3 linked regions of the Macaca fascicularis genome follow. The protein of the gene in region 2 interacts with the protein of the main gene of each other region in a pairwise test. Links are inferred from orthologs where the notes say so. Each region holds a gene or a part of one and is shown on either strand. Other genes may lie near its edges. The genes, in order: DPYSL3, DISC1 and PPP4R1.

Evidence for each region.
Region 1: the proteins of DISC1 (region 2) and DPYSL3 interact in a two-hybrid assay, tested with the Homo sapiens proteins (2 studies listed by BioGRID and IntAct). The link is inferred for Macaca fascicularis from reciprocal best matches to the Homo sapiens genes DISC1 and DPYSL3.
Region 3: the proteins of DISC1 (region 2) and PPP4R1 interact in a two-hybrid assay, tested with the Homo sapiens proteins (2 studies listed by BioGRID and IntAct). The link is inferred for Macaca fascicularis from reciprocal best matches to the Homo sapiens genes DISC1 and PPP4R1.

The regions. Positions count from the first base shown.
Region 1 is NC_088380.1:154,298,558-154,302,220, forward strand, and holds the start of DPYSL3 (dihydropyrimidinase-related protein 3), read right to left. Parts: upstream 2,947-3,663; 5' UTR 2,859-2,946; coding exon 2,478-2,858; intron 1-2,477.
Region 2 is NC_088375.1:17,386,515-17,390,163, forward strand, and holds part of DISC1 (disrupted in schizophrenia 1 protein), read right to left. Parts: intron 2,675-3,649; coding exon 1,695-2,674; intron 1-1,694. UniProt on the Homo sapiens protein: Involved in the regulation of multiple aspects of embryonic and adult neurogenesis. Required for neural progenitor proliferation in the ventrical/subventrical zone during embryonic brain development and in the adult dentate gyrus of the hippocampus.
Region 3 is NC_088392.1:77,896,832-77,900,480, forward strand, and holds part of PPP4R1 (serine/threonine-protein phosphatase 4 regulatory subunit 1), read right to left. Parts: intron 3,010-3,649; coding exon 2,909-3,009; intron 1-2,908. UniProt on the Homo sapiens protein: Regulatory subunit of serine/threonine-protein phosphatase 4. May play a role in regulation of cell division in renal glomeruli. The PPP4C-PPP4R1 PP4 complex may play a role in dephosphorylation and regulation of HDAC3.

The sequences.
Region 1 (3,663 bases), on a different chromosome or scaffold from region 2:
AGCAAGGAATTAAGTGTGTATACAATTTGCCACATACTATTCACAGACATGTAGAGATGGAGCCTCCATCAAGTTAGGCACAATAATGAATGGAGCTTTCCTGTTGACTCACACTGGACAAATAGGAGCAAGAAATATGCTGTTATGTTTTTTATTAAGCTGCTGAGAGTTGGGGGTTGTTACTGTGGCATCACCCAGCCTTTTCTGACAGATACAAGAGTGCACATACCTAAAAATCATTAAAATGTCTCAGAATAAGGAAACATATTTACCTTTACATTTCCAGAGGTCAGAACTAAGAATAATTTGTAGAAACTACAGGTAGGCAGATTTGGGCTTAATTTTTTTTTTAAGTGAAGTTGTCCAAAAAGTTGCTTCATGAGGTAGTGAGCTCCCTGACAATGGTTGTATTTAAGCAGAGGCCAGATGATCATTTTGCCAGCTATGTGGCAAAACAGATGGTTTAATTAAGGAAGTTTAGTGTATCAAACATTTATTGAGCACCTCCAATGTGCCAAGCATTGTAGCCACACAGATAAATTCAAATACACAATCTCTACCCTCAAGGGAATAAACAACAAGTTCAGAACTTGATAACCTCTGTGGTCTCTTCTAACAGTGTGATTCAACCAAATTAGAGATAATAACATGGCCTGGATGAAGCAGATGGCAAACCCAAACTTACAAATAACTATGTAGCACTAGAAATGCTGCCGATGCCTAGGTTGTATTATTATTTCTCAATTAGTAGCCAAAAGTATAGGGTTTGCAAAAGGGAGGAAAATGGGAGAATTGCTAGGTTTAAAGGAGGAATATTTTCCCTTTCTCTAGTTACCATTCTTAAATCTTGCAAACCCAGCATATTATCTGGCTTACATCAGGGGTGTTTCAGCAAAGGGAATAGCACTGACTCACACCAATTGTTACCGACCTTTTCCATCACTACTCCCGCCCCTTCCAGTCAGGAAGGGAACATTTCAATACGGATCAACTCAGACATGAAGAAAGGAATAACCTTTCTATAGGGCTCTTCTTCAGTTTAGGTACCAACCAAAACATTTGCAAAATATCAGAAGTTTTCCCTAAAGCGTTGTTCCCCTAAGCAAAGGCTTAGGGGAAACACACACTAAAAGGATGATGTGAAAATCACAAACTAAATGAATGATTCCAGAGGAAACCGACATTGTTTTCCAAGTGGTATCCTCGAACAGCACTAACTTCAGCACTTATTTTCCCTGGTGGTCTTAGCAGTTAAAGGCTGGTTGGTTGGTTTGTCTAAACTTTCAAAAATCAAACAGTGGAGAGAGATGCTGTTCTTTCACTAGCTTATTGCATTTTAATGGAAAAACAACTAAAACCTAGATAAGCATTAACTGTAATTGCTCTGAGGCAGACATTTCCATTTCAGGTTATTATTCCTAACCATATTAGTGCAGAATAATACATGCGGATGGATTTTGCGGCCATTACCTAGACAAGGGTGAGGGCATCTGATTACTATTATTCCCCAGCTGAAAGCTTCAGTTTGAACTCTGAAGGCTCCAGCCCTGCCAGGCCCTGCAATTTCTGAACTACATCTCTGATTCTCTATGAAATAGACACATAAATCAGGGCAAGCTAGATTTCAATGCCATCCCTTCAGTCAGTTCAGTGTGACATAAGTTTCTCAAAAATACACATACAGAAGAAATTGGCTTTGGCACATTTAAGAGCAGCAGGGAATTTGCATCTCATGCTAGTTTAATGTGCACTCTTAATACTCTCGTCTATTTTCTAAAATATAATGCTATTCTTGCAGAGGCAGCTGGACCCCTTGATACCCGGTCTTGTGCCAAGCTGTGTACACAAATACACTCTTGACAAACACAGATGTGAAATGCGTGCTAAGACAGAAGCGAGGCATAGAGAGAGATTCGCGTGTTTAGTCTAGAGGCTCCACACCCAAAAGTTTCAGGGACAGCTGATGTTTGAAGACTCAGAGGGGAGACCGCCCCTCCTGTACTTTCATCCGGGCACTATGGAGATGACCCCCATATTCCCAGCATCACTTTGCCCTCTGCCCTGGTGACCTGGGTTGAGATTTAATCTAGGGCCAGAGAGGGGCAAGACAATTGTGCTGTTGGCTACTCATACAGAGAGAAGAGCTGGAAATCACTAAGCCTTCCCGGGCTGACACACCCACCCAGAACGGATGGCCCAGGAGTGCGGCGAGGAGGCAGGGGTAAAGGACGCGGCTCCAGGCAGGGGAACCTGGGCATTCTTTCCGCGCTTGCACGAAGATGCTGCAAGTGGCGACACGCGCGAATCCAGGGTCTGGGCTAGGAAGTCGCGCAGAGCTCAGTGGAGGATGCCCCTTTCCTCCTCCTGGTCCCCCAACCCCGTGCAAAGTGAGCTGGAGAAAGTTGTGCCCGGGCCATGGCGGCCAGGGCTGGAGAAAGGAACGAAGGCAAGCAGGGAAGTGACGGGGGCCCCCTTACCTTGTCCTTGGGGCCGAGGTTCTGCAACACCTCTTTGCCGGTGGCGCTCCGAATCTCCACCCCGGAGGGCGCGGGGGACGCGGGCGCGGGCTCCCTGCTCTCTTCCCGGCCTTGGCCCCTGCGCGGGGTGTCCCCCTCGGTCCCGGGCCGGCTCCCTGAGCCTCGGTCGCTGCCCTGGCCGCTCCGAGGAGTCTTCGCGCCCCGCTGCCCCACGCTGAGGGCATCGAAATCCAGCGTCTTGCTCTCGAAGGCGCCCTCCACGTTGCAGAACATGCCGCCGTATTTCTGCCGCGGGACCTGGTCCGTGGTGCCCGGCCTGGCCAGGTACACGGGCAGATCGTCTTCATGGGAGCTGTCCCAGCCTCTCCGGCCCGAGGCCATGGTTCAAGCGCGAAAACGGCCCGCGGGTTTTTCTTCCCCAGAGGCGGAAAGGGCAGCTGCCGGCAGCGTGCGCCGAGCCACAGTGACTGGGGCGGGAGGAGGCGCCTGAGCCTTCGCGCCAGAGGCGGCAGTGCTGCTCCGATTCCTGCCTGTCCCTAGCGAGCCAGAGAGCCACACAGCCAGCTAGCGCGCGGCGCAGGGGCCCGGAGTAGCGGCGCGCTTGGCTCGCTCGCTGGACCTCTCGCCCGGCCGCACCTCCTCACGCACCCCCAACCCTAACGTGGCCTCCCGGGCTGACGCAGCGTCGGTGCCCATCACAATCACAAACCAAACTTGGCGCGCGCGCACACGCACACACAGGCGCACACTGCCCGCTCGCGCAACAGCCTTGCTTCACACACTTTCATGCAATTCAGACGTCTTAGAAATGTTCACACTCAAGCACTTGACTGCTTCACCCACACTAACTCCCTAGTTTGCCTCACAAATACAAAGCTTTCTGACGTCCCTCATGCACAAAAACCCAGCTGACCCAGGTGGATTCATCTCAAAGCCAAGTCCTGATTTACAATAACACATACAAACTCAAATTTACTACAAACTCACAATCCTACCCAGAACCCCGGACTTGCCTCATCCTGATCTTTAGGATGACCCTCACAATTACACCCAGTTCTAGAATCTGCCTTGCAAACCCACACTCTCACATAAAGTCCTGAATTGGCTTACACACACAACACAACACACACACACTGAAAGAGAAGTCGTCTTACTTCATTGAGAGTCACAAAAACCCTTTGACTCA
Region 2 (3,649 bases):
AGCAGTAGGACTGAGAGGGCTTGGAGGCCGGCCAGATGTGGAACGAGGGAGAGGGAGGTGTGGAAGATGGTTGTGGTTTCTGGCCTAAGAAACTGGATAGATTCTATGCATTCGAATCAACCAATATTGGAGGCCCTTCAGAATGGGTTTGGGGGAAAGACAAGGGCATTGGTTTAGGCAATGACTAACTGGAAGACTCCACACATCACCCAGAATACCAGCCTGCATCTCTGCTCTGGCCTCAATCCCTCTCTGCATAATAAATCAGAGGGCTGGGCTGAGGTCCCTGAGGGCTGAAAAAGGGCAAACAGGGACAGGGCTAGGAACACCAGACTGCAGATAAAGAACGGAAGGTAGATGCTCTTTCGGGGAATGAGCATGAGCTTCTGCAGATTCTCCTCCCAAATGCCTGATGAGTGGGTGCTCCACTTCCCTACTCACATGAACACATCCCCACACACATGCGAGTGCACACACACCCACAAATACATACTCACACACGCATGCATACACACACATGCACACACAGCACAAACATGCACACACACATACACACACACAGCACAAACATGCACACACATACACACACGCACACACATGCATACCTATATGCACACACGCACACACACACACCTATATGCACACACAAACACGAGTGCACACACACCCACAAATACATACACTCACACACGCATGCACAAACATGCACACACAGCACAAACATGCAGACACACATACACACACGCACACACATGCACACGTATATGCGCACACACACAAACACATGAGCACACCCACAAATACACTCACACACGCATGCACAAACACACGCACATGCACACACATACACATGCACATGCAAACACATACAAGCACACACATGCACACCTCTATGTGCACACACACACACACAAACACACATATGTACACCCACCAGGATTAAAACACAGTCTGGCAATAGATCAGCCACAGAGCATCTCTACCTGGGCTTCTCTGGGAATTTTTGTGGGTAGAGGAACCCTGCCTACTTCTGGCTATACCCACCTCTCAGATAACTGGATAGACAGCAACATCATAAGGCTGGGCCTTAGATGTCTCCAGTTTGTCCTTATTTCCAAAGCAGCTACATTCTCATTTGAGCCTTAGAACAATCCTATGAGTTGGTGTTATCTCTAAATACGGAAACTGAGAGCCGGAGAGGTTCAATGACCAGAAGCGAAGTCTCCTGATCCTATGGAAGGCAGCAGTCACTGCAGCAGGATGGAAGGGAATGAGTGAAGTGGATGAAGAGCAGGATCGCCCTGATACAGGGCATCCCCATTTTTGTATCTCTCAACCCCTTCTAAACATCATCCAGCTCAATCTCCCCTGCCCCCAGTTTCCTGTCTCAAAGCAGAGCTGAGCTGAGTTAACCACGTCTCACCTAGGCCAGGGCCTGTGGAGGAGCCTGCGGCCCAATGGAGAGCAAATCTGAGCACCTACGTGACAGAGAAGACAAAAGGGAGGGTAGATCTGTGTCCAATTCAAAGAGACAGAAGTGTAGCAACATCCTTGTTCAGCCAGCTCCAAAAGGAGCTGCTGCAGCTTTTAGGAGGATAGCAGTTGAGCCCAGAACCCCTCACTTTCTGCCATCTGCCCAGTGCTAATCTGAGCTCACGACAATCTCGGGCTGCAGAGGTGGAGGAGACACTGACCTCCACCTGCCTCCGGTTTCTCAGCAGGCAGTCCCGCAGCACTGGCTCCCATTTCCTGAGCAGGGTGTCCCAAGAGTGGGCATCCTCCGATCCGCTGCTCCCATCACCACCACAGCCAGCCAGTGAGGGATCCAGAGAACTGGAGGAACCAGAGTCCATGTCCGGTAAAGAATGCATCTCACACTCTGGCCTGGAGCTGTTCCCGGCGGCCTGGGCCAAGTCCTCTGAGACCTGTGTAGCCAAGAGACTGAAGGGCCGAGAGAGACATCGAGGGTCCTTATGAGGCCCGTCCAAGCTGGCAGCTTTGGCTCCCATCTCCTGGGGGCTCTGGCAAGGGGACTCGGCCTCTCTGGATGGTGGGCAGCCTTCTGCTTCTCCACGTTCCCCGGCAGAGCCAAGCGAGAGCCGAATAAAGCTAAAGCTTGAGGCAAAGGCACTGTGAGAGCCAGGAGGGGTTGGGGGGTCCTCAAGGCCACAGCCAGGGTTGCAGCTATTGCTACTCAACTCTGCTGATGGCACAGAGCCTGCTGCCTGGACACACCTTGCTCCATCACTGCAGGCTGCCTCCCAGCTGGTGTCCAAGGTCTCAGAACTGTCCATGGCTGCAAACTCTTGCTGCCACCCAGCATTCCCAGGGCCACACAGCCTGCTAAGCCTGTCAGGCAATCTGGTGCCACCTCTGAGCTGAATCCCAAAGTGTGCCGAGGTTCCTCTCACAGAGGTCACAGCAGGGGCTGCTGCGCTCTTGGAAACAGGGCTCCCAACCAAGAGGCCTCCCAGGTCAAGGCCACACTCTCTGGTCTTGGACTCCAAGTGGTGGGACTCCTCGCCAGGCACCCCTCCTGGGACCCGGAACAGTGTGCCCACTGCTGGGGAAAGGAACCCGATCCCAGGCCCTGTCGAGCTTCTCATGTAGCCCGGCCTCCGTGCCAGCCGCCGCCTCCGAAAGCACGCTGCAGGTGGTAAGCAATCCCGGCCGCCTGGGAAGGAAAGAGAAAACAGCACTATAAACGTGCAGTTCTTACTGGCCCAGCTGGAACTGCATCTGGAGCACATCCCTAGGTTTAAAGGTCATCTCTCGGTACACCTGTCAAAGATACATGCTGGCTCAATGGTCCTGGGGCCAATCCGTTATGAAAATCCCAACAATCCTCAGGAAGTGTTTGCCTGGAACATGTAGAAATCAACACAGCATCTCAGCTCCTGGGTTTAGCAGAGCAACTGGCACTGCTGTATGCTATGCCCACAGGTCAGCATGAACACAACTTTGGTGGCTCCTGAACCCTCCAACATCTTGCCTGTTGGTCTTTTATGGCACATCAGTACTCTCATCCTGGAGTGGGCCTGGAAAGCAAATGACGTGAAAGTGGGATGCCAGAGCATGCCCCTAAATGAGATCCAACCATTTACTCTAGCTATTCATTGAACAACATGTGAATGTTCACTAGCGGGGCTATCCATGTCCCTGCAAGACTGATCTGTTGCTGCAGACCCATGGATAGCTGGCTGTGCTGCAATGTATGGCCATCATCTCATCTCACTCAGTGAATGACAGGAGGCCTGCTTGATGTGTTCTCCAAACCAGCACTGCATTCCCCTTCCAGCTAGGCTATAGGAATAGGAACAATAACAAATGCTGATTCCTCATTGCCTGGTTCAAACCCTGACTGTACCACTTGCTGGTTGTGTGACCTTCCACAAAGTTACTTAACCGCTCTGTGCCTCAGTTTCCCCATCAGTAAAGTGGTGATATTAACAGCTCTCTCATAAGGTGGTTGTGAGCTTTCAACTAAATGAGTTACTATTTGTAGACAGCTTAGAACAATGTCTGGCACATATGATAAGAGTTATTAAAATGTCATTTTTAGATTGCATAGCATTTTGCTACTCATAATGTGTTTTTAATTTACATTAATTTCATTCACTCCCTCCCAAAATCATGTGAATCAATCAGG
Region 3 (3,649 bases), on a different chromosome or scaffold from region 2:
CTACAAAAAGGAATTACAAAAAGATAATGTTTAAAAATCGGCGAGACAAATGAAAACAGGTTCTCATTTAAATAATCTGCAATACTGGATTACGGAGCACCTGTCTCAAACACATGCAAAGAGGAGCGACTAAGCGGACCTCTCCTGTCCAGTTACCTCCAGTCTCTGCATCTGGAAACGCACTTACATGCTATTCAAGTTCCGTAGAGTGTAAGGAAAACAAAAGCCGTAGAGCTCTGCATCCATGGGAACTGAGAGAGCAAAGCACTTCCTAGTATGTTCAACTGGAACATGGCCCACACTGATCCATGGTTACAGTGTGGAACGTGCTGAGAAGCTTCCATCTACAATCAAGTTTCTCAGTAAGAAGTTCCCGCAGGGGCAGGTAGTCTGCTGTGTACCTGTCGGGGCTCTGAGGAGCCTTCCTGGAAGGGACTCGCTAGGGATAACAGAGGGAGGGTGTCCTCCAGCGACCTTCCCATCACATCTGAGGGGCCCTGAGACTTTCATGACATCCACCAAGCTAACCTGAAGGCTTCAATGATGCCCTTGAAGAAATACCTTGGATGTGAGACTTTTGCCTTTCAGATTTTATGTTCGAGATGATTTACATTTCTAATAAGCAGGAAGTCAACTGTAACATGAACGTAGATTATGCAGTCATGACAATGCACCTGTGCATACAAACATACAACCTCAAACAGACACACGTACTTTTTGACAAAGTTCAAAATCAGAATTCCAAATAGGACATCAGTTTCTGCTTAGAATACAGAAAACTGCAAGAATGTCACTGACCCTACAGTAGAAAAAGCTATATAAACTTCAAGATCTTTTCTTGAGCCCATCAGAGAGCTGGGGTTGCAAAGCACCCAAACAGCCTAACTTTCCCCCTCAGCAGAGCCCAGAGGGACAGGGCACCTGCCAGCACATAACAGGGTGGGGAGAAATCAGCTCGAATTGTAGCCAGCTGCCCAGGGCCAGATGGTGGCTGGCACGAGCATGGAGTGGCTCAAGCAAAGCCATATGTGCCCGACACAGGGAGCTCACATCCCCAGGCAACCTTCTGACCTTCTGACTTCCACAGGGTGCCTGCCTCCCATGGGTGCTTCAAGAAAGACAGTCAGGAGAAACAGGAGCGATGTCTCATAGCAGGCAGAAGCGGCTGACGGACAGCCACGAATCACCAAGCACTCTACTGGGCCCTTCACTCACACAAAGCAAAAGGCTTAACCTGCTGGTGGAGGGGCCCAAAGCCTGTCTACCCTGTGGGCCAGCAAAAACGCTGCAACTGGGGGAGAGGAGAACTAACGCTCCTTATTCTAGGAGGAGCTGCAGGAAGTCCTGCCCGAGACCAAGCACAGACAGGAGGCCCCACCCATTACACAGGGGTGCAGGTATAGCTCAAGCCTGGGTGGAATACTCGCACTACAAGACCACTGGTGCCCCAGCTCCCACCCTCAGCAAACGGCAACGGTAGTGGCAGCCCACAGTGAGGAAAACTGAAGCCCCAAATACACTGAAGGTAACCACAGCAATGACAAAACGCAAGCCCAGCTTGATCCTGACTAGCTGGACTCACATCCCGGCACTACATGGCGGAAGAGGAGGCGTGCATTTCGAGTCAGAAGTGGGAAAGCCAGAACTCAATGGAGAGGCATTTTTAATACACTGAAAGACAAACTGTCAGCCCCACATCCCATACTCAGCAAAGACGTCATCTGAAAATACACGTGAGGTGTATGATCCGGAATATATAAATAGCTCTTACAACTCAACAACACAACTTAAGATAAACAACCCAATTTAAAAATGTGCAAGAGACTTGGATAGACATTTCTCCACAAAATATACACAAATGGTTAACAGGCTTATGAAAAAGTGTTCAACATCATTAGTCATTAGGGAAATGTGAATCATACCACAACGAGGTGCTGTTCCACACCCATCAGAACAGCTATCAATGATAAGCGAGTGATGGATATGCTAATTGCCCTTATCTAACCACTATCCAATATGTATTGCAACATCATTACATACCTTATAAATATGCACAATTATTATTTGGCCAATTTAGAAATATTTTTAAAATTTAATAGGAAAATAGGTGTTAGTGAGGACATACAGAAATTGGAACTCCCATACGTTGCTGATGGGAATGTAAAATGGTACAGCTGTTGTAGAAAAGTGTGGCAGTTCCTCAATGAATTAAACACAGAATTACCATATGGCCTTGCAAATCCACCTCAAAATAACTGAAAACAGATTTCAAGGATTAAATCTTGTACATAAACGTTCCTAGCAGCACTATTCACAAAAGACCACACACCCAACCCAAATGTTCCTCAACAGATGAATGCACTAAATGAATGTGGTATATCCATACAATGGAATATTTACTCAACCACAAAAAGGGAGGCAAGTTCAGCTAGAGGATACAATATGGAGGGACAACTGAAAGCATTGTTAGATGAAGAAACCAAGCACAAAAGGCCACATGTGGTATGATTCCACTTGCATGACATGTCCACAATAGGCAAATCCATAGATAGTAAGTAGATGCTTATTGGACATGCATTTTTCTTTTCAGGAGGTTAACATTTTAGAACTAGAGGGAATGGTTCCACAACATTGTGAATGTACTAAATGTCATCAATAGCAAATTTGGCTATGTGTATTTCACCATGATAAAAATAATATAAAAATGAACTAAAGACATTTTCAGGAAAAAAAAAAAAAAAGTTGAGGAAATTCACTGACAGTAAGACATGTATTACAGGAAGCGTTAAAGGGCTAGAACACCACATAGAAACTTGGATCTACACAAAGTAATGAAACTGAGAGAAGGTAAAAATGAAGTAAATATATACCCCTCCAAAATATAATCTAATAAACTGTTAGAACTTACTCAGCCAGTTCAGCTCGAAACCGCCAATTTCTACTATTATCTGTCACCAAAAACTCCTGAAGTTGATAAAGATACTCTCTTCTTTTGTCAATATGAAGAAGCTAAAGTAACAAAATAAAAATATTTACCAGGACAAGGTACAGACATTATTTCTTTTATTAGAGTGTGTAAAAACAGACTGTAAGCAATATGGTTAATTCTTCTGAAAAGGAAATGTAGTAGTTGTATTTAAATGTTTTAAATTTGGTATTAAGTTTATTTTTCCTTGAATAACACCATTTGCCTTCAGGAATCACCATCTTGTCTGGCAATCTTTATTCCTTGTGTCTATCAATGAGCCACACTAAACCCCACAGTACGCCGGGCACAGCTTGATTACAGGACTTGCCCCCCTTTATTCATATGACATCCTTGTTGCCATGGCCCCACTTAAGGCAGTAATTATGCTCTTAACCACGTGTGTAAGCCCTGCATGTGGCACTGTGACAGCACAGAGCAGGCATTCAGTATTTGTTGAGAGAAAAAAAATAAAGAAATGTATCCCAATAGCTGCTCTATAAATATTTAAAGGGGGAAAAACCAACCTAACTGTACATCAGATGGAAACCAATCACAGGGAAAAAAGCCAAAGTGTGAACTGAGTGACCACACATCTTCAAGAGACAGTCTAAGGACAGAATGTGCTACGAAGTCCTGAATATTATGTAGCTGATTTGATGTGGGAATTATTATTGGTGGAGT